Linked DNA regions of Arabidopsis thaliana. The protein of the gene in region 3 purifies or fractionates together with the protein of the main gene of each other region. This does not show direct contact. Each region holds a gene or a part of one and is shown on either strand. Other genes may lie near its edges.

Region 1 (4,498 bases), on a different chromosome or scaffold from region 3:
TTTGTTCTATATCTCATTGTTCGATATCAAACTAATGAGGTTAACGTTTTTTGGTGAGACGACCAGTTATGTAACATGTTGTTAACTATCTTCATGTTTGAATCGATTTTGATTGGATGTTTTCATGTTCTATCATATTCTGCGGTTTTGAATCTTCTGAATTCTAACGTGAGGTTATCCTTCTTGTGCAGATCTCAGCTTCCCGGTTAGTACTACCCTCAAATCAACTAAGTTTCATGTCTGAACTTGACTCCCAGGTTCCCACTGCCTTTGGTATGTTTCTACTCTACCAAAACTTGAGATTGTATTAGTCACTGATCTTCTTCTACTTGTTTTAGATACTTGAACATGTTATCATTTGTAAATACATGTTAATCAAAGCATCATTTTTTGTTTGATTATGCTGTTTATCTTACATGGGAATCTGTTTATCTCTCTCAATTTGCTGTTGCTTGTTTCAGATCCGTTTGCTGATGCGAATGTTGAGGACTCAGGTGCCGGAACAAAAGAATACGTTCATATCCGTGTCCAGCAGCGAAATGGTAGGAAAAGCTTGACAACCGTCCAGGGCCTGAAGAAAGAGTACAGCTATACCAAGATACTTAAGGACCTCAAGAAAGAGTTTTGCTGCAACGGCACTGTGGTTCAGGATTCAGAACTCGGACAGGTAGGTTTTATCAAAACACTCTATTGATCCATGTAGTGGAAAGTGGATGATAATATTTCTGTCGTTAGTGCCTGCTTGAACAAACCAGAATGATTTGGCCTCTTATCTGAACATTTGAGCTTCTCTGTTTTAGTTTTGTTTATGGTTTGTGTTGATTTGTAGGTTATACAGCTTCAAGGTGACCAACGTAAGAACGTCTCCACATTCCTTGTCCAGGTAAATATCAATAACTCTACGAGTCTCTTTACTGCTAAAACATACAAACTGTGTAAGATGATTGTCTGATCTCACTGTTTCTCTGTAATCACAGGCTGGTTTGGTGAAGAAGGATAACATCAAGATCCATGGTTTCTAAGCTATCTAGTGGATCATATTATTAATAAAACCATATCTTTTTCTTTCATCTCTTGTTGCGAATTTCGGGTTTGATTCATCAAAATCGTCTTCTTCCTAGTGTTCTTCTTCTGTTTGGTATTCGAATTTTAATGGCTTATGTTCACCATACTTCTTCCCCTGTTTTCGTGTTACTCTGTTTCACATCTTACTTATCTTATAATATCAGTTTGTTAAGATAATTCTGCTCTAACTTGTTATAATTTTTCTCTACAATGGTTCATAGTTTTAAAATTATATAAGGACCAACCGGAAGTTTATACGGTCGATACTTTCCAAGTATACCAAATTGCAGGTTTTAGTTTGGACCACAAAAAAGTTCAATGATCAAAAAGGCTGATGTATCTTCTCACTAGTAATAATAATTCATAAGCACACAAATAATGATAAATGAACTGTCTCTGTCACTAGTAAAGTCCAAATGCCGTCTCTATCGTACAAAGATATTTCACCTTCTTGTTGTTCGTGTCACCACACACTCACTGCAACTGGCTACAGATGTTCCCAGATAAAAGCTTCGAGATATTTTTTTATACATTTATTTTGATCCATATCACAATATTAATTGCAAAGTTTTTTCCCTTTTCTTCAAGAAATAGAGCAATCCGATTCAGTCAATTCTTTGAAGTTATAACAGTAATCAATTCGCCATTAATTTTATACATTTAATCAATGTATAATATAAGTATTTTTCTTTCATAAATGGGGGAAAAAAATAGAGATAGTTTTTGACCAAAAAAAAAATAAAAAAAAATAGACATAGTCATTGGAGATGGTTTTACTAAATTTGGGCTTGTTCAAGAGAAGTGTCTTTTCTTCATTCAATCAGAACCGTGAAGAAAGGAGATCGTTACTTTCCATTGATGGCTAAAAATTAAAATAATCACGATAAATATTAATAATACAAAAAACAATTAAAATAACAAAAAAAGATCAAAAATTCTCTAACCCTTCATTCCTTATCTCTGACGTGGCCATCAATCTTCAGATTTTCTTCTTCTTCTAATTTAAATACTCAACAACCACTCTTCACTTCACCATCAGCATCACTAAACTCGAACCCTAAAGAAAAACAAAAATGGCTGCCATAGCTTCTACTCTCTCTCTTTCTTCAACCAAACCTCAGAGACTTTTCGATTCTTCCTTCCATGGCTCAGCCATCTCCGCAGCTCCTATCTCCATCGGTCTCAAACCACGATCTTTCTCCGTTCGCGCCACAACCGCTGGTTACGACTTGAACGCTTTCACGTTCGACCCGATCAAGGAATCGATCGTGTCACGTGAGATGACGAGAAGGTACATGACGGATATGATCACTTATGCTGAGACTGATGTCGTCGTCGTTGGTGCTGGATCTGCTGGTTTATCTGCTGCTTATGAGATCAGTAAGAACCCTAATGTTCAAGTTGCCATTATTGAGCAATCTGTTAGTCCTGGTGGTGGTGCTTGGCTCGGTGGTCAGCTTTTCTCCGCCATGGTAAGATTTAGATTCATTTGCATGTGTGATTTTGTTGAAGTTTTGAGTTCTGTTTCTGTTTTAATGGAGAATTAGGGTTTAGATTGAATCATTATGAGTATTGATTGCTTGTGCTTATGGTAGATTGTTCGCAAACCAGCTCACTTGTTCCTTGACGAGATTGGTGTGGCTTACGATGAGCAAGACACCTACGTTGTGGTTAAGCACGCGGCTCTGTTCACATCAACCATCATGAGCAAGCTTTTGGCTCGTCCTAATGTGAAGCTCTTCAACGCTGTGGCTGCTGAGGATTTGATTGTGAAAGGAAACAGAGTTGGTGGTGTGGTGACTAACTGGGCTCTTGTGGCTCAGAACCACCACACACAATCGTGTATGGACCCTAATGTTATGGAAGCGAAGATTGTGGTTAGCTCTTGTGGTCATGATGGTCCTTTTGGAGCTACTGGTGTTAAGAGGTTGAAGAGTATTGGGATGATTGATCATGTTCCTGGGATGAAAGCTTTGGACATGAACACTGCTGAGGACGCTATTGTGAGGTTGACCAGAGAGGTTGTTCCTGGTATGATTGTTACCGGTATGGAAGTTGCTGAGATCGATGGTGCACCGAGAATGGTGAGTATTCTTGACCTATATATGTTTGATTTGGTATCCATAGTTTTCGTTAGATCATGTCCTGAGTTAGTTTGTGGTGATGTAGGGACCAACTTTTGGTGCTATGATGATATCGGGACAAAAGGCGGGACAACTTGCTCTTAAGGCTTTGGGGCTACCGAATGCTATTGACGGAACTCTCGTTGGAAACCTAAGCCCGGAGCTGGTCTTAGCCGCAGCAGATTCAGCTGAAACCGTAGATGCTTAAAATCAAAAGGTTTTAACGTTAAGAAAAGTTTCCCTTGATCCTTCGGATGTTGAAGGAGTGCAATAAAAGGAGTTTAGGTGTTTAATATGTCTTGAACTTTTCTGGTGTCTTTGTTTCTCTCTTCTGAACTTCTGTGTAAAATATCGTATCCGTTCATTCGTAATGCGTATGTTCTCGTTCTTCTCCTTCTTTATGGCTCTAGTACAAGCAGCTTTCTCGTTGTCGTTGGCAATACAAAATCTGTCTAAATTTGAGGGATGAGATTAGTGTTGGATGTCGGATTCTTGTCTTCAATTCTGATTCTTATCCTTGAAGAAATTATGTATAGATAGAGCTATTCAATGTCTATAGTTTCTCTGCTGATGAAAGAACGAAGAGTTTTATGATTTTAGATTCAGAGAACAGAGGAAAACTGTGAAATAGAAAGAAAAAAGTTTTTACATTTCTTTTATGAACATATATATATATATATATATACTGATGTCTGACCTGGAATTCAAATACTCCATCCTTATTTACATATATAATCCGACTTAGAAGTGCAACAATGAGTTTAGAAATGACATCGATGATAATTCTTTTGTGTGCTTTTTTTTTGTTTTGGTTTGTGAAACAAATATTACAAAATGTGTGGATTTGTATGAACAGTTTACAACGAGAAGTTGTTGTGTAAATTGGGCTCTTTTCTTCAGAATTCTTGCCACCCAAGGAATCGTTAGTCACTTTTTTGTCGCCGGTTTTGTGAGTTATCAAATATGTATAAAAACATACAAAAACGCTACTACTCGTGAATCTTCTGCAATGCTATTTCTTGGCCTGAAATACCAAAAACAGAACAATCAGAGAGTTATAAGATAGCTAAAGAAGGATCATACACAAACTCATAAGAGTATAAAGCAAACCTTTTTAAGATACTTCTTGTGAAGTTTCATTGCACCAGTACAGGCTTTTTTAGCATCCAAGTTTCCGGTTATGTCGTTTAAGATCTGAGCAAAATACACAGATTAAAGAGGACTTCACTTGTAAAACAGATAAAAACCGCTCTGAATTCTCTGCATTACCTTTACAACGTCATCAAGTCCTCGAGCTTCGGTCATTAACT
Region 2 (4,782 bases), on a different chromosome or scaffold from region 3:
ATTTTTTGGTAAAAGCAGTGTACAGCGGAAATTAAGTTGTTTAACATCAGAAGGTAAGGGCGGAAAGAAGACAAAAGAAAGTATTGGGGTCGTTTTGATAAACATTATTTTGTAGGGGTGGTTTAAATGTGTGAAGTGGATAAACCATGTGGGTAACTGCTAACCGCGTATATACCAAACCCTATCACTCCCCACTTGTCTTTGTACATTTTGGTTTAATGGAAAAAAAGGATAGGGCTATTTTCAAGAAATGACAAAACGATCCTTTTCTTTTGGTTATTTTCTGATTTTATCCATAACTTCTAGTTTTTAACTTTTTTCTCGTGTCAAAGGTATCAGATTTTTATTTAACCAGAAAATTATCATGTACGATATTTTTTAATTAATCCGAGTGGAGAATATTCCGAGTAATACCACAACATAATTTTGTTGTCGGCTACAGATGGAGATTAGCTTAATGAGCACTCAAGTTTATTAAACAAATCAATCAGATAGTTATCTAATTCCAGGGAGCTGTGACCTCACATGATATTTTTCTAATTTATTTTTTGCAATGGTCAAAATACTCTGCCTCTTTGCATTATTATAAACTATTTACACAAGTGAAAGACATAAATATTGGCAAAAGAAAAGAAGGATTTCTTTATTTTTGATTCAATTTAAGGAGAATCACATAGCAGAAACAGGAGAAAGATGAGATAGATACAAAGGTTCTTTGGCTAAAAATAACAACTCTGCTCCAACTTTGAAAAGACGAATAAAACAACTCTGATTGCTAATTTTCACCAAACATGTGTTCAATCTTAGCCTCTAGATAGCTGAAAAGTATTCTTTGCTGAGCTTGGGGTCAGGTTTCATTGATTTCTCCCCTGGCTTCCATCCCGCAGGGCACACTTCATCCGGGTTTTCTTGAACATACTGTAATGCCTGCAAGACAACATCACAAGAAGCAACAAATAACGCATCTAAACCCTAAACCTCAAAAACAAATCTCTCTTTATCTATCTATCTCAATGATGTGATTTTTCTCTTTATTACCTGGAGGGTTCTCATTGTCTCATCAACACTTCGGCCAATACCGAGGTTGTTGATGGTGGAATGCTGAATGACTCCTTCCTTGTCTATGATGAAAAGCCCTCTCAGTGCAATGCCCTGTACTTATATATTAGCAAAATGCTTTGATTCAAAGTGGCTATACGTTACTTGAAAGAACACAAGTGGATTGGACTCAATGCAAGTATGATGCAACTATGTCAGAAGAAATCGTTTACCTGATCAGGGATGAGCACTCCAAACGATTTTGAAATGGATTTAGTGATATCCGAAACAAGAGGATAATTCAGATCACCGAGCCCTCCCGACTTTCTGTCTGTTTGGACCCACGCAAGATGCGAGAACTACATGAACATGGAATCAAACGTTCCATTATCCAAAAGAAAACGTTCCATTCGATTATCAGACTGCCACTTGCCAAGGTTCTGAGTACATCAAATACTTGAAACCATTTTTCAAAATGCTGAGACCAGAATGTTCTTTCTTGGTTCAGGTGGAGAAATAAAAATTTGACTTACCACACTGTCGACAGAGACCCCTAATACTTCGGTGTTTAGCTTCTCAAATTCTTCATAACGGTCACTGAAGGCAGTAATCTCTAGAATAAGCAAAGAAAAATTGGAAATTTCAGTGACTATGAGGGCGAGAGTTTCAGTTTTGAAGCTATTTCCTTAGCAGAATACTAACCAGTGGGGCAGACAAAAGTGAAGTCCAAAGGGTAGAAGAATAGAATAACATACTTTTTGCCAATGTACTCAGAGAGCTTCACCTGAAACCATGATTCATAGGTCGATTACTATCAGAACATTGCTCTACTGCATTGACCTTAGCTTATGACACTTAACTAACTAACATGTTAAATAAGGTTTGAATGGAATGAAAGTACCTTTATGAACTCTTGATCAAAAACTGCCTCAGCTTCAAAATCAGGCGCCTTATTACCGACCAGTGGTAAATCATCCTGCATTCATAAAACATATAAACACTAGTCAGTCATCGATCATCGAATTGTTTAACCACACAAAATGTTCTTTAACTGGTGTTCACTATCTATGCAGGGCTCAAAAGATTTCTGTGTATGAGCCAAATGTGAATCATATTAATTAATTTCAGATCATTTCCTCCCATCCCTAATTAAACCCGAAAGAAGGGTAACAAAAATGTCGCTCAATTCAAATCGCAGAACTCTAAAAAGTTTAAAGTTTAGTCTTTTATCCAATGATCTCAAAACCCTTAAGAGATAAGAAGCAGGAAAATAGTACGGATCCCATTATAACAAGCTAACGAATTCATACAACAATCATAGTGAATGAGAAGATGGAGCAAATACAAGAAATTTATGGCATTGCGAGTCAACTTACAGCCTGAGCCTTGACGGCGAAGTTCCGGCGTGAGGCGGAGCGGTTGGTGGTGAGGGAACCGAGACTGGAGAACCCGGAACAGAGAGAAGAGGATGATGCCGAGGAAGAGGGTATGATTCTGGGGAAAGAGACGGTAGGAGATAAAAGAGAAGACTTGGAGGGAAGAAGAACCCTAGAGGAAGAGAGTAGGGTGGTGGAAGAAGAAGAAGCTATAGACGCCATTGACATTGACTCTGTTCTCTCTCTCTATCTCTCTGTGATTGGTTACTTAAAAAAGAGGTCTTGTGGTTTGGTTTGAGGATGAGGTGGATAAACGTGAGGGCGTGAGAGAGACGAATCGGATAGAGAAACCAAATAGCTGCTCTTCTAGATTTTTCAGACAAGAAGAAAGAAGTGGAATGTTCGATGAACCGGAACGACACCGTGTTGATGATCATACTTTGATAATTAAATCAAAATCTATTTTTAGGCTGGTTGGATTTCCGAATATATTTCCATCTAATCTTCACATCAAAAATAGTAATCAATCCTTAAATTTTGTAATTTGCCTACTATCTTCCATTCCAATCATAATAATTAAGAAAATACAAATAAAGTAAACGTATCTCTTTACTAATTAATACAACACAAGATAGTGACAAATGTACATATCATAGAGATCAATAATTGGACCTCCTTCCTTACTTTAAACACTCGCAAAACCCAATCAGCCACAAACTCACAAACAAACCAAACAAAAAAAAAGAAGAAGAAAGACTATGGAGATTCCGCCGTCACAATCTCCGGCGACTCAACTCCGCCGTACAAAATCCATATCCAACATGACGACTCTAACTCCTCCAGAAGTTCCTTTCGACATAGCTTCAACGCCGCCGTCTTCGTTCGATTACGAGCTCATCTCCGTAAAACCATCCTCTTTCGTAGCTTACACTTCTCTCAGAGATATCATCTCTTCTCCGATTAACTCTTCACTCAATTTACCGTCGATCAACGGTAGCTGCTCTCCTGTTATATCCACCGCCGCCGGAGATATCTCGATTCGTAACCGTCTCGTTAAGCAAGCTGCTTTGTCTTATCTTCAACCAACGGTGCTTACTTCGTCAGATGATTCTGCTGGTTCTCAATTCTTCCGCCGCGTTTGGCTTCACTTATCCGCCGGGTTTCAGTTCTTGCGACGTGTGTTTGATTGGATTTTTCAATCGTTTCGTGTTCCTTTGATTGTCAAATAAACTTTGATTTGGTGAGAAAATTGGATTTTTCATGAATTGAATTGTATACAATAAAGTGTTACAATATTCAAAACATATCAAAGGAAAAATCTTTTTTTTTTTGTTCGTCTGTGGTCAATTTGAAGTCATGTGAAACTCCGGTTAACCGGCGGTTTAAAAACCCGGTTATTGAGATTGTGGCTTAGAGTAGTATAGCAGGCACCTTCTAACGGAGAAACATTAAAGAAGTTCTTGTTTGTTGTTGATCTTTTGACTTTGATTGGTTTTTATTCTGTAGACAAAGGAAGTGATGGATTTGGTGAGAGTGCTCTGATGCAGTAAAGCTTGAGGATGTATATGTTTGTTTTGAATACCTTATAGATGGTGAATTGTTGTTGCAATTGCTTGAAGATTTGGAGGCTCCAGTGGAAGATACATTGCAGTAGTTGAGCAATTACTAAATGTCCTCTTATCTTTAAGACAGAGATTCCTTGATCGATGTCAGATTCATGTTTTGACATGTATGGACATAGTAGCTTCTCGTAGACATAGCTAAGTCCCTGTTAGAAACCAAGAGAAGAAGATTGGTCGTTTTGTGAATCTAAGAATGAGAATGAATTCTCATTAGATTTTTATTGCATTGTACTGTAGTTAGTACCTGTGATTTCGGGTAACATAAGTAGATGAGAAGAGCGATTTTGATCTCTCCGTAGAGTGGTAACCTGCGGATAGATGAGATGAATCAGAAGGTTTCATACAATAAAGAAGCATATGATGGAGATTTGAAGTTTGACATATAAGTACTAACCATGATACAATGATGTCTCCTATCCTTTCGAAAACAGTAAGAAGAGCCACCAAGATCCTACAAATCAAATTCGGATTTTTGATAAGATGGTTATGAGAATAAGATACCCTTATCCAAAAAAGGAATCTTCTTTATTAACAATTAGTAAGCTTTACCAATATTGGCACCAGTATCTAAGTTCGTGAATCTCAAGCTTTTTCTTTTCCACGCTTTTGTAGCATCCATATGCAGGGTACGCGTAACCCACAAGCAATCTGCAAATTTTCCAGAAAATCTAAGAGAAAGAAGAACGAAAATGCCTAAATATAAAACCAGATGAAGGAAAGACGAGAGAGAAAGAGGGTCTAACATT
Region 3 (4,565 bases):
TACGTTACTTTTGAGTTTTGAGTTTACAAATATATATAAGCTCCTTTTAATTTATTGCATGTTAATGACTCGTGAATCACGAGTGTACATTACTTTTTATAAAGCAATTTTTTTCTTTGAAAAGAATTTTCTTGTATCAGAACTGGTCTGAATGTTTAACATCAACCAAGATTTACAAACTGTTTAGTGATGAAGCTACAATGAACCCTCAAAAATGCTAATTAATTTGGTGAAATAGATCAATATCAACTTTCAACGACACACCTTTGTTTTTTTATGAAAAAAAAGTCTCATTTTCGTTTGTTTTGATTATAAACAAAGTTGGTCTCTCGCATGCAATGTACGTTCACGCTGCAATGACAATAGTGTACGTTCTTTGTTGTAATTTAGTCGAGAATCCATCTCCGACGTTAGGAACAATCTATCATCTTTCCTTTTTTTCTTTGCACAAATATCGTAAAAGTGATACCCACGATTATCTACACCAAAAGTGGTCACTGACAATGTACGAAAAAACTTAGAAAACAACTTAAAAAAAGACAGTTCAAAATGATGGTATTTGATCAGTGAGTAGCTTCTTCAGTATTAAAGCTCAATTACATTTATTCAACCTATGGTTATGATTATATAAACTCTGTTTTCTCTCCAATTTACCCTGAATATGTTAGCACTTGTAACTAACCTAATTCTTTCTATTAATTTCACATTTAAACAAACATATATAAATGGATTAACTAATTCTTGGATCCAGAATTTAGCTTACCATACTTAAGATCAATCCATGGATCTTTATTATAAAACTTGAAGCGAACGCTAAGACTAGTAGAGTCAATAAAATAGTAAACCAATAAACCTGAAGCTTTTACAACAACTAAGCAAGTCCTAAAGGAAGTCTCCACACAAAGTTCTGTGCTTTTTAACTCTCGAATCTGAATTCTGACCTTCACTATTTGAAAACCATTCAAACCTATCATTCTTCTTTACCTCTGCGAATAAACATAACTCTTCTTGGTTTCTTCCCGGGTAAGCCCGACTAGACCCGACATCTATTCTTGTAGACGGTTCTGAAGATATACCGAGCCTCAAGGATAAATCACAGACCCTCTCAGTTGCTTCTTCTGAGGGCTTTATACCAATAGGCATGCCAATGATTATGGGCGCTTCAGGGACTCTAAAAGACATGTCAGCTTGCTGCGTTTGATTATTACCTTCGTAATACAAAGGATAGACCGAACCCAAGTTGACTGGAGCTGGAGCAGGAGCAGAAGCAGGACCAGTTCCTTGTCTAATTGCCAATGGCTTTTGATGCATCTGCATGGATTCATGAAGAAACGGGTAACCGCGAGGAGTAGCTACACGCTTGTTGCTGTTATCAAGTACATCAACAGGGACTGCAGCTTGAACTGTCTGGCTTGGTTTGGTTGATGATTGTTGAGCTTGCTGACGATATTCATGATGGTAAGACGGCTCATTAGTCGACGCAGAAACCGGTTCCTGAATTTTAGGACCGAGGTAAGTCCTTCCGCTACTATGTCGTTGGCTTCTTGAAGCTCTTACAGCAATACATCCCAAATTAAGAGCAGCTAACCATATAAAAAAAAACCACATCAACAAACAATAAACAGTACAAAGCACTAACTTCTAAGTAGTTTCAATAAGGATCACTAGAGCTAAAGAGAGAAACAAAAATGACAATTACCTTCAACACATGGAGGCAAAAGAGGACCAGTTTCTGTACTCTCATCTCTTCTAATAATTGTATCAATGGCATCATTTACTCTATTCCACATAGTATCAGCATCTGTATACTCTTCCTAATGGAAACCGAAACCCAATTGTCATTTTGTGAAGCTGAAAACACACTAAAAAAAGAGAAGGAAAATTTGTTTAAAACCTCGGAATTGGCTTTAGAGTACATGATTTCTTCAGCTTTTAACACAACCACAGGCAATTTCTCCTGCCATTCTTTGTTCTTCCTCGTCGCTGCGCTATGTGCTTCCATTGCGAGTCTGAAATCAAACAAAGAAAACCCCAAATTAAGATACAAAGAAACCCTAGCGTACGGTTTTGAGAAAGATGAGTGAATGAAAAAAACCTGAAAATCTGGCGAATAATCGAACCACGAATAGGTTGATGACGATCGCTATGCCAAGCTCGTTTCACACACTCGTAAGGTCTTGGTCCTGGCCTCGGCATTTTCTCCTTCTTCACACACTTGAGCAGTGACACACTCAGCTACAAATCGAAGTAACAAGTCACTCACTCATCAAACTAATCGGTTCAATTTCTATCCGGGAGTATTTTCCGATCAGCGAGTTCGATGTACGAGTCGCCAAATGGTGTGGAAAGAAAAATCAACCTTAAAACTCTTTTTAACCGATCCAAGGAAACAGATCTGAAGCTTTGAAGCTCTGAATCGTTTGGAGATTTCGTCTACTTGAGCTCATACCGGTCACATCTCCGTCATCATCATCGTCATAGAATCTCCGATTGTTGTCTCCATCGTTGCCGCTTCTGGAAATGGAAATGGAAATGGTGTGATTCGGGACCGCTTCTTTAAAAACGAACCAGTTTTGTGATTTGTCTATTATACCCCTATTTGTACTAACTGTCGTTTTTTTTTTTTTTTTTGTCGGCAACTGTCGTTTAATATGGCTTTTTACTAAACCGGAATTGAAATAACCGGGTTTTGAACAGATAATATTAATTTCAAACGACACCGTTTTGGAGTTGTGTCTAACACTTTGATTGATTCTGAAATCTGGATTCGTCTCCTCCATTAAACATCTCTCGTCTGATAACACCGATCCATCTCTTTCTTTCTCTCTCCGTCGACTCTCGTTCTTAAAGATGAAAGCTTTCTACGTATTCGTTGTTGCTCTTCTTCTCACCTTGAATTATAGGGTTCGTTTTTGTTCCTTCGTGTCTTGCTCTCGTTTACGGAATTGCTTGTATGTAATGACATGGATCTGACTTTTGTTTGTGTATAGGGAGAAGCAAGTGGTTCTGTTTTCTTCATTGATGGATCCAACAATCAATATCTTCGTCCACGATCATCCAGTGAGGTAATGATTTTCGTCCCAAATGTGTGGATGACCGATTTGAAATAATCTCAAATTTGATCATTTTATATTTCAATCTAAGATCGTTTCTGGAAATTATACGAGTTTGGTCCATTGAAGTAGTAAAATAAGATCTATTGTTTGGTCTAAGTGGCACCAATTTGTAGTTTTCTTGTCTGTTTTTTTTTGTTATTTTGATATTGATGAGAGATCAATGGACAGATTGCAAATTTATGTTTGACAAGTACTAAAGTTTGTGATTTAATAGTTCTTTTTGATGAATTTTAGTTAAATCTCTTTTCTTTGAATTGAAATGCACAGGCACTTCCCATGTCGCCTGTTGAAATATCTGCAGCAGTGTCTGCCTTGTTGGGTTTTGCACCTTCAGCAACTTTGACAGCTGATGGCTCATCCAAGGTTATTTTAGTATTATAGTAGAGTTGTTTTTCTCTCTCTGGGTTAAAGTCCTGTACTTCATCGTTTATTTGTTTTGCATTTTGTTATAGTTGAACAAGATTCTAAAACCTAATCCATTTGAGAGGCCTCGCGCTGCTTTTGTGCTAGAAATCGCTGGAGCTGATGGTATGTGATTGGAAAGCTTTAGTTTTCTGACATGAACCAAAAATTTTAGTTGTAAAATATTCAAGTGTTTGTTTTTTACTTGCAGATATGCTTTTGGAAACCTCCCCTAGTCATTCTTTCTTGGGCAATGCCATAAGGAGCAGTATTAAGTCTGATTCGTACAAAGCTGATACTGAACTTCCAGGTGCCCTATCAGCTTGAATACCAGAACCATCTGAGCATGACTAGTTTCTAACTTTTTTTTCTTTATGGGTTTAAGTCTTACTTTGGATATTCTGCTAATCTTTTCAAAATTCTGCAGACAATGAAGTGGTTGTTGTGTCTGTCAATGAACCCTCCTCTGATGTGACTGACAAGGACATTAATGATTTTGTTAGTTAACAGCACCTGTCATTCTAAGTGCAAACACTATTTTTTTTTCCTTTTTAATATAATGTGACCACAAGTTAATGGTGTGGTTATAATATACTTAGGCATCTTGGTTGGGTGGATCATATGTTGCTGGAGCTGAACCATCGTCTGGATTGTTGAGTATCCCTCTGGCTGGGGGTGCTAATGTGGAGTTCAATTTGGAAAAGGTAATATTCTTAATTCCATGAAAAATTGTATGATTTTATGTGGGAGAGGTTGCTGTATTACCTGTAGATATTGTGATTTTCATATGAAGAAGGCACATGACTTTTGTTTCTCTGGGCAGGAAGCAGAGAGGAAATTTGCATTGAACCTTTTGGGTCTATATCAGAATATCAGACAGGCAGTCAGCGTTTATGACGATTTATCTCATGGTATTGACAGAACTGCCGAATTAACGGTTGGACGCTTTGGTGGTATCGATGTAAGGGCATTTTTGTTATTCTGTTTTTTTCCCTTTCCTCAGTTTCTCAGTCTTGGTATATAAATTAGAGGGTGGAGTTCATTGCA
Region 4 (8,146 bases), on a different chromosome or scaffold from region 3:
TTTATGGACCAATCCTTTGAGTTGGCTACTCTGAAAAGTAATACTCCCTCATATGTTTAGATACCAAAAAATTGAGGAGTTCCAAGTGTTAGCCTTTGATGGGGGTTGAGATACGTCAAGCGGAAGTTGCAAGAACATCCTCAGTAGGAGGCTGCATTGGTTTTTGAGAACGTGGTGGTGGTGGTGGTGGTTGTGGCTTTGGCGGTGGTGGTGGAGGTCTCTTTGGTTTCACCTTATTGACTATCTCAGCTTCAACATCAAACTGCATGATGACAAAAAAATACAGCCACACGGGTTCAGAGAAGTAGAGTGTATTTCCAAACGCATCAAATTATTGAGGTTGAAGCAAGGAAACAAACCTTGTAACCACAGCCTGCTACACATGCGTGAAAGCATTCCTGAATTTAAAAACAGAGTTACATGTACAACAATTAGATACGGTTCAGTCCATTTCTCTTTTTTGAAGAAAAAGATTCATTGTGTGAATTACCTCAGAGTATTTGGCATCTCCAGGAGAACGATCTATAACAGCAGTCCATGGTCTGTCTTTTAGCACAGGATCTTTGTAGCAAATTTCACTGCAGTCTCCTACACCTATAGAGAGTACACTACTATTACACCAATTCATTAACTTGGAAACTTAAACCTGAAAAGCAGAAGATACTCTTCATGAACATGTAATTTCGTTATGTAGGAGACAAGCTTGGTTTTTATGATGTTCCATAGTGAGGACAAATCTAACCGCTCATCATTTCATCAACAGTTTCGTTACAGATTACAAAGAATTAAAAAGAAATGCTTACAATCTTCCCATGAGTCACTATCGGCATCACATCCCTTTTTGCAGAATACTCTCCCTACACAGATTCAGGAATTACATTAGTGCTATGGAAAAAATGTCATACAACAACATGGAGGATAAACACTGATGCTAAAGCTGAAAAAAAACCCAGATTGCTATGGAAAAAATGTCATACCAAGCATAAGTTCAGCTAGCTTTTGTGCCCATGAATGAAATTCAGAGATCAGAGAATGAAAAGCTTTCATCAGAAAGACAGAAACAGCCAAACCAAGCCCTTTAACTAGCTTAAGCATACATATATGTCAATAGTTCATAGAAGCAACATGGATACAGAAGCATCTTTGATACCGTTACTTTGACTCTCTCCCTTTAAATTTCTTTCAGTTCATAAACTACAACTTATTATCTTCCACTTTCTCCTACTAATTTAACCATTTTCTTAATTACATGATAGAAAAGCTCTAAGAACTCTGCATAATCTCCCTTACTTGTAATCAATATAAATGTTGCCGATTCTTCAATCTACATTATTCAATTACGAGTCAAGATGGATGTTCTTAAATACTTGCAACTACAACTATAAGTTGTCTCTGGACCAATCTAACCAAAGAAGCGATTCTTGACCAAAATGTTTAGTATAATCGTAATGAAGTAGAGTGCACCAACAAATAATTAGGGTTTATGAATCAAGAAATCAATCAACAATCCAATTTACAGATCCCAATTTCAATTCCAAACAACAACAAAAAGAAGAAACACTCGGAAGACTAAATTGACTTTTGAATCAAGAAATCAATCACCAATCCAAATCAGAACCCAATCTATCAGCTCCAACAACAGATTCTTATCATCATCATCGAAAACTAAACCATCAAAAAACAACGGACCACGAACATCAAAACTCAAAAACGAATCCGATTCACACAAATTAAGAGTCCAGATATTACATACATGGAAGCTGCGTAAATGCTGAGTACTTATTCGTGCATTTGCTCCCACACGGCGGCGTCCATTGCTGCGGTATCATCTCTCTCTCCCTTCCTCCGCCTTCACTCTCCGTCTCTCTCTCTCTTCTTCCGAAAATATCGCTGACGCCACAAAAATGTAGCCGGAGACTTTTCTTTATATAGTAAGGGTGTTTCCGTCATTTAACAATCCAAGCTCTCTAACAACCAAACCGATCCTTTTTATAATCCCATTTAATCAAACCGGTTATTGATACAAACCGGTTATTTCCATAAACTTAAGCCGACTTCTCTCTCTCGAGCCTTTATAAACTCACAATCTCACAAAGCCGTCTCATTCTCTGCGTCCTGTCTCTCTCTTTGTCTCCGAGAGCTCGAGTAGTGAAGTTTGCTGTGCTCTAATCTTCAGAGAGTGAGAATAAATGGAGTACAACGAATACGAACCTGAACCTCAATATGTAGAAGACGATGACGATGAGGAGATTACCCAGGAGGACGCGTGGGCTGTTATATCTGCTTATTTCGAAGAGAAAGGTCTCGTTCGTCAACAGCTGGATTCGTTTGATGAGTTTATTCAAAATACTATGCAAGAAATCGTTGATGAGTCTGCTGATATCGAGATCCGACCTGAATCTCAGCATAATCCTGGCCATCAGTCCGATTTTGCGGAGGTTGTTTCCTCGTTTTTGTTTTTTTCTAGGGTTTCTATGGGAATTCGAAATTATGTGCGGGTTTATCGTGTTTGTGGCGGTTTTAAAGTGTTTCGATTTGAGCTTCTACCGTTTGGGTGCGATTAGGGTTTACCTGAATCTTATTGATGTCCCGAGATTGTCTTGTTATTCAATGCTTGAGCTATATGCTGTTCAAGAGTCAAAAAATGATTTTGACTATTGATGTCCGGATATTGACTTTGAGCTGGTAATCTTATTAATGTCCCGAGATTATCTTTGAGTTAATGCTTGAGCTCATCTCTTTCGAGGAGGATTTATAGTATTGGTTGAAACTCAAATCAGTTTTGGCACTATAAAAATGAGTTTGGTATCTTTTTTTGCTGTCCCTTTGGTCTGTTTTCCTGCAGACAGTCTATTGTTAGCCCTTATCTGAGAAGCTTATCTCAATGATTTCCCATGATTATCTTTGTATTCGATGCTTGAGCTCTTCGCTTTTTTGAGGTGTATTTTCAGTGGTTTTGAATATTGGTTAAAGCTTAAATCAGTTTTTAAGTTTTGTTGCAATTAGGGTCTGCCTTTGTCGAGTAGCTAAGCTCATTGATTTTCCGAGATTATCTTTCCATTTAATGCTTGAGCTCTTCGCTTTTTTCAAAGTGTCCTTTCAGTGGTCTTTATTATCGGTTGAAGCTCAAATCATTTTTGACTTTGTGTGAGCTGAGATATAGCTGTTTTGCTATCTGTTTTTCTGTATGTCTGATATAGCTGTTTTCCTGCAGACAATCTACAAGATTAGCTTTGGACAGATTTATCTGAGTAAACCTATGATGACAGAGTCTGATGGAGAGACTGCCACCCTGTTCCCTAAGGCTGCAAGGTTGAGAAATCTCACATACTCTGCGCCTTTGTATGTCGATGTTACTAAGAGAGTTATTAAGAAAGGGCATGATGGTGAAGAAGTTACGGAGACACAGGATTTTACTAAAGTTTTCATTGGAAAGGTGTCCGAACTCAGTTCATTGTGTCACATTTATTTAGGTGTTTCCATGTACTCTACTGTTCTGATAGTAGAAATGTTTTCTTCTTGTTTGATTATTTGCTAGGTTCCCATCATGCTCCGGTCTAGTTACTGTACCTTGTTTCAGAACTCGGAGAAAGACCTGACAGAGCTTGGAGAATGTCCTTATGATCAGGGTGGATACTTCATTATTAATGGCAGTGAAAAGGTTCTGATTGCTCAGGAGAAGATGAGTACGAATCATGTTTATGTGTTCAAGAAAAGGCAGCCAAATAAGTATGCTTATGTTGGTGAAGTCCGTTCTATGGCTGAAAACCAAAATAGGCCTCCAAGCACAATGTTTGTGCGTATGCTTGCTCGTGCTAGTGCAAAAGGGGTAAGAGAAAGCTAATTAGTCTTAACTCTACTATATCCTTCCTCGAAATTTATTCTTTAAATTCTAGATAATGGTAAATAAATTACATTCTATGTTGCAAATGGATGCAGGGTTCATCTGGACAGTATATTCGATGTACTCTTCCATACATCAGAACAGAAATTCCTATTATCATAGTATTTCGTGCACTGGGATTTGTTGCCGATAAGGACATATTGGAACACATCTGCTATGATTTTGCCGATACCCAGATGATGGAGTTGCTCAGGCCTTCCTTGGAAGAAGCTTTCGTTATTCAAAATCAGCTGGTATCCACTTTTTTTTCACTTGGTTAATGACATTTTATTATGCTTGAGGAATTGATCTTGCAATCACTTGATAACTTTCATATTACTTCAGGTTGCACTTGACTATATTGGAAAACGTGGTGCAACTGTTGGTGTAACCAAGGAAAAAAGGATAAAGTATGTGATAATCTAAACCAATTAAGTTGGACATTATGATCTAAGATGTCAACTATTGAGATGTTCACACTGGAGGTTTGCGATTGCAATATTATCATTGCAGGTATGCTAGAGATATCCTTCAGAAAGAAATGCTTCCTCATGTAGGAATTGGGGAGCATTGCGAGACAAAGAAAGCTTACTATTTTGGGTAGGTATTTAACTCACTTGTAATGTTTATAGACTTAACATGTTTCTGTGTTGCTCATATTATGCTATGATCCGTAGGTATATCATACACCGGCTGCTGCTTTGTGCACTTGGCCGAAGGCCAGAAGATGATAGGGATCATTATGGTAACAAAAGGCTGGATCTTGCTGGTCCTTTACTTGGAGGGCTATTTAGAATGGTTTGTTCCCGGCACACAATTATACACTCTTGGGGATTGTTGAGTATCAGTGTTTTTTTTATCTCTTACTGACCTAACATCTTCTCTACATGCAGCTTTTCCGAAAGTTAACAAGGGATGTGAGATCTTATGTTCAAAAGGTATCTTACATAGTTACTCTTTCTCGAGCCAAAGACTTTAGTATTAAGTTGTTATTCTGTGTTTGGAAGTCTGATTCATGTTTCTTTGACAGTGCGTTGACAATGGCAAAGAAGTCAATCTTCAATTTGCCATTAAGGCTAAAACAATTACCTCTGGCCTGAAATATTCTCTTGCTACTGGGAACTGGGGCCAGGCAAACGCTGCTGGCACAAGAGCTGGAGTCTCTCAGGTTAGGATAATTCTATGTTAATTATGTTTTTGAGTTCCAATAATTTCTTGATGTATGTTATCGGGTTTACTGTTTTGGCCTATTATAATTCATTGCATGATTTATATGGCTCTAAAGACTTAACTAACAACAGGTTCTTAACCGGTTGACATATGCTTCGACTTTGTCACATCTGAGGCGTCTCAATTCTCCAATAGGACGTGAAGGTAAAGCCTCGTTCTTTTCCTGCACTTCTATTTTGTCTCTGTGTAACTGTTCGTACAGTTGGTGTATTTTAGTCATGGTTCTCTTTATTATCCACATCCTTGCAATTTAGATTGGCTTGTACTTTTGTTTATCCCACTTGAATCTAATCAAGTCTGATATGCCAGGAAAATTGGCAAAACCAAGACAACTGCACAACTCACAGTGGGGAATGATGTGCCCTGCTGAAACACCTGAAGGACAGGTAAAATTGTTATATTTATAAAATAAGGGTGTTTCGGATTTTATAGTTCCATTGCTCATTGTGGCTTTGCTGTACCAGGCTTGTGGTCTAGTGAAAAACTTGGCTCTCATGGTCTACATAACAGTTGGGTCAGCTGCTTATCCTATATTGGAATTTTTGGAAGAATGGGGTACTGAGAATTTTGAGGTCTGTAGCATTTCACATTCAATTTCTTACCCAACATCTGCCTCCTTGGTTCTTGTGGTTTCCTGAAGGTCTTAACTTGAATATAGGAAATATCTCCATCTGTTATACCCCAAGCCACAAAAATCTTTGTCAATGGAATGTGGGTTGGAGTTCATAGAGATCCTGACATGTTGGTGAAAACGTTGAGACGTTTGAGACGAAGGGTAAGCATGCAGTTTCTTTCACGTTTCCATATATGCTAGTGAAAATATTGCAACTTTATGCAGAAGTGACATATTACTTTTTCCTCTTGCAGGTTGATGTCAACACTGAAGTTGGTGTAGTTAGAGATATCCGTCTTAAAGAGCTCCGGATATACACTGATTATGGACGTTGTAGCCGTCCGTTGTTTATTGTAGATAATCAGAAGCTCTTAATAAAGAAGAGAGATATCTATGCTCTGCAACAAAGGGTAAAATTCTAATTTTTACCTGTTATCAAAGTATCTTTTGTTATAAATTCCATTGTACCAATATTTGTTTTCATAACCCAGGAAAGTGCAGAAGAAGATGGTTGGCATCATCTGGTTGCTAAGGGCTTTATAGAATACATAGACACAGAAGAAGAGGAAACGACCATGATTTCCATGACTATCAGTGTGAGTAATGAAATGAAGATGTGATTAAATGAGTTTGTGGTGCACTAATTTCTGCAGAAATCTTACTCTTATGTTTGTTGTAGGATCTGGTTCAAGCTAGACTCCGCCCAGAAGAGGCTTATACTGAAAACTACACACATTGTGAGATTCACCCATCTCTGATATTGGGGGTCTGTGCTTCAATCATACCATTTCCTGACCATAATCAGGTACCTCTGTCTAAATGACTTTTCTATCAGAAGCGATTTCATTATGTAAATTCAGTTTCATGCTAACTAACCCTTTACTTTTTGATGTATTAGTCACCTCGTAATACATATCAATCTGCCATGGGGAAGCAAGCAATGGGAATTTATGTCACCAACTACCAATTTCGCATGGTATGTTCTAGGCTCTTAATTTGTGGTCTTTCTTGTCAGCTCTTGTTACATCACTCAATATTTTAAAGAAATTATTATTGTTCTGTCAACCAGGATACGTTAGCTTATGTTCTCTATTATCCACAAAAGCCTTTGGTTACTACAAGAGCTATGGAGCATCTTCACTTTAGACAACTTCCAGCAGGAATTGTAAGTTATTTTTGCTAGAAGTTTTTCAGAATTCAGCATTGCTCGTGTATCAAATCTCTCAAATGTTTTTTTTTCTTCTTCTTGTGCAGAATGCTATTGTTGCCATTTCTTGCTATTCTGGATATAATCAAGAAGATTCTGTCATCATGAATCAGTCTTCAATAGATCGTGGTTTCTTTCGATCCTTGTTCTTTCGGTCTTACAGGTGAGTATGCTATACTTTTGGACGTTTGCCTTCGGTCTTTCCATTTATTTATACTGCAATCACGTTTGCTGACAGAGATGAGGAGAAAAAAATGGGGACGCTTGTCAAAGAAGACTTTGGGCGCCCAGACAGAGGAAGTACAATGGTAAGAAAGTAATTGACACATGGTTCATACTTCAGTGGTGCTTTTTGTAAGTGAAGTTTAACACTTGGGTTTCTGCTGCAGGGTATGCGACATGGTTCTTATGATAAACTGGATGATGATGGTCTTGCGCCTCCTGTAAGTTTATAATTTATTGTTCCTTAATTATTTATTATCTGATATGATTAGGTGACTAATGTTAGAAAGCATATCATACAATCTTTTATTTTTGGTATAGGGTACTAGAGTTTCAGGTGAAGATGTTATCATTGGGAAAACCACTCCAATATCTCAAGATGAGGCTCAAGGACAATCATCCCGATACACTAGACGTGATCATAGTATAAGCTTGCGACATAGTGAAACTGGAATGGTGGATCAGGTAACTTTGGCTTTTCCTTGCAGTTAAGGGTTTAGAAAGTTTCAGGATTGAAATATGAAACTGATCAATTCTTGTAACTTCGTGTAGGTGTTATTGACTACAAATGCAGATGGTTTGAGGTTTGTGAAAGTGAGGGTCAGATCCGTGCGGATTCCTCAAATTGGAGACAAATTTAGTAGTAGACACGGTCAGAAGGGAACTGTTGGCATGACCTACACGCAGGAGGATATGCCATGGACGATTGAAGGGGTCACTCCGGACATTATTGTGAATCCACATGCTATTCCGTCTCGAATGACAATTGGACAGCTAATTGAGTGCATCATGGGAAAAGTGGCAGCTCACATGGGAAAAGAAGGAGATGCTACTCCCTTTACAGATGTCACGGTAACTTGCATTTTCCTTAGCTGCTTAGTTAGCATTGGGCTTGGTATTATTAGTTTTGACCAATGTTGTGTCGTTAGGTGGATAATATAAGCAAAGCCCTTCATAAGTGTGGGTACCAAATGCGTGGATTTGAGAGAAT

What was found.
Region 1: the proteins of AT3G24150 (region 3) and THI1 purify together in Arabidopsis thaliana (affinity purification with mass spectrometry, with the first as the bait; one study listed by BioGRID). This does not show direct contact.
Region 2: the proteins of AT3G24150 (region 3) and 2-Cys Prx B purify together in Arabidopsis thaliana (affinity purification with mass spectrometry, with the first as the bait; one study listed by BioGRID). This does not show direct contact.
Region 4: the proteins of AT3G24150 (region 3) and NRPB2 purify together in Arabidopsis thaliana (affinity purification with mass spectrometry, with the first as the bait; one study listed by BioGRID). This does not show direct contact.

Annotation. Positions count from the first base shown.
Region 1 is NC_003076.8:22,244,496-22,248,993, forward strand, and holds THI1 (thiazole biosynthetic enzyme, chloroplast (ARA6) (THI1) (THI4)), read left to right. Parts: upstream 1-2,023; 5' UTR 2,024-2,138; coding exon 2,139-2,537; intron 2,538-2,660; coding exon 2,661-3,149; intron 3,150-3,234; coding exon 3,235-3,396; 3' UTR 3,397-3,837; downstream 3,838-4,498. Other genes in the region: AT5G54760 (Translation initiation factor SUI1 family protein), read left to right, coding at 237-273, 462-667, 830-883, 978-1,022; AT5G54780 (Ypt/Rab-GAP domain of gyp1p superfamily protein), read right to left, coding at 4,201-4,212, 4,299-4,382, 4,458-4,498. UniProt on the Arabidopsis thaliana protein: Involved in biosynthesis of the thiamine precursor thiazole. Catalyzes the conversion of NAD and glycine to adenosine diphosphate 5-(2-hydroxyethyl)-4-methylthiazole-2-carboxylic acid (ADT), an adenylated thiazole intermediate.
Region 2 is NC_003076.8:1,917,240-1,922,021, reverse strand, and holds 2-Cys Prx B (2-cysteine peroxiredoxin B), read right to left. Parts: upstream 2,943-4,782; 5' UTR 2,643-2,942; coding exon 2,415-2,642; intron 2,015-2,414; coding exon 1,940-2,014; intron 1,823-1,939; coding exon 1,741-1,822; intron 1,652-1,740; coding exon 1,572-1,651; intron 1,398-1,571; coding exon 1,272-1,397; intron 1,153-1,271; coding exon 1,039-1,152; coding exon of another isoform or gene 1,006-1,038; exon of another isoform or gene 928-1,005; coding exon 811-927; 3' UTR 597-810; downstream 1-596. Other genes in the region: AT5G06280 (uncharacterized protein), read left to right, coding at 3,173-3,643.
Region 3 is NC_003074.8:8,723,391-8,727,955, forward strand, and holds AT3G24150 (uncharacterized protein), read right to left. Parts: upstream 2,597-4,565; 5' UTR 2,197-2,596; coding exon 2,096-2,196; intron 2,010-2,095; coding exon 1,895-2,009; intron 1,815-1,894; coding exon 1,700-1,814; intron 1,584-1,699; coding exon 883-1,583; 3' UTR 707-882; downstream 1-706. Other genes in the region: PMP (putative type 1 membrane protein), read left to right, coding at 2,851-2,904, 2,991-3,065, 3,384-3,479, 3,569-3,644, 3,730-3,828, 3,946-4,016, 4,118-4,222, 4,342-4,479.
Region 4 is NC_003075.7:11,536,244-11,544,389, reverse strand, and holds the start of NRPB2 (DNA-directed RNA polymerase family protein), read left to right. Parts: upstream 1-1,984; 5' UTR 1,985-2,189; coding exon 2,190-2,438; intron 2,439-3,214; coding exon 3,215-3,436; intron 3,437-3,538; coding exon 3,539-3,829; intron 3,830-3,939; coding exon 3,940-4,137; intron 4,138-4,228; coding exon 4,229-4,293; intron 4,294-4,396; coding exon 4,397-4,483; intron 4,484-4,560; coding exon 4,561-4,681; intron 4,682-4,776; coding exon 4,777-4,821; intron 4,822-4,913; coding exon 4,914-5,051; intron 5,052-5,184; coding exon 5,185-5,257; intron 5,258-5,422; coding exon 5,423-5,499; intron 5,500-5,577; coding exon 5,578-5,685; intron 5,686-5,771; coding exon 5,772-5,888; intron 5,889-5,980; coding exon 5,981-6,136; intron 6,137-6,217; coding exon 6,218-6,322; intron 6,323-6,405; coding exon 6,406-6,531; intron 6,532-6,624; coding exon 6,625-6,702; intron 6,703-6,795; coding exon 6,796-6,891; intron 6,892-6,980; coding exon 6,981-7,096; intron 7,097-7,171; and 9 more. Other genes in the region: AT4G21720 (defensin-like protein), read right to left, coding at 116-262, 360-398, 491-594, 804-857, 1,754-1,829. UniProt on the Arabidopsis thaliana protein: DNA-dependent RNA polymerase catalyzes the transcription of DNA into RNA using the four ribonucleoside triphosphates as substrates. Second largest component of RNA polymerase II which synthesizes mRNA precursors and many functional non-coding RNAs.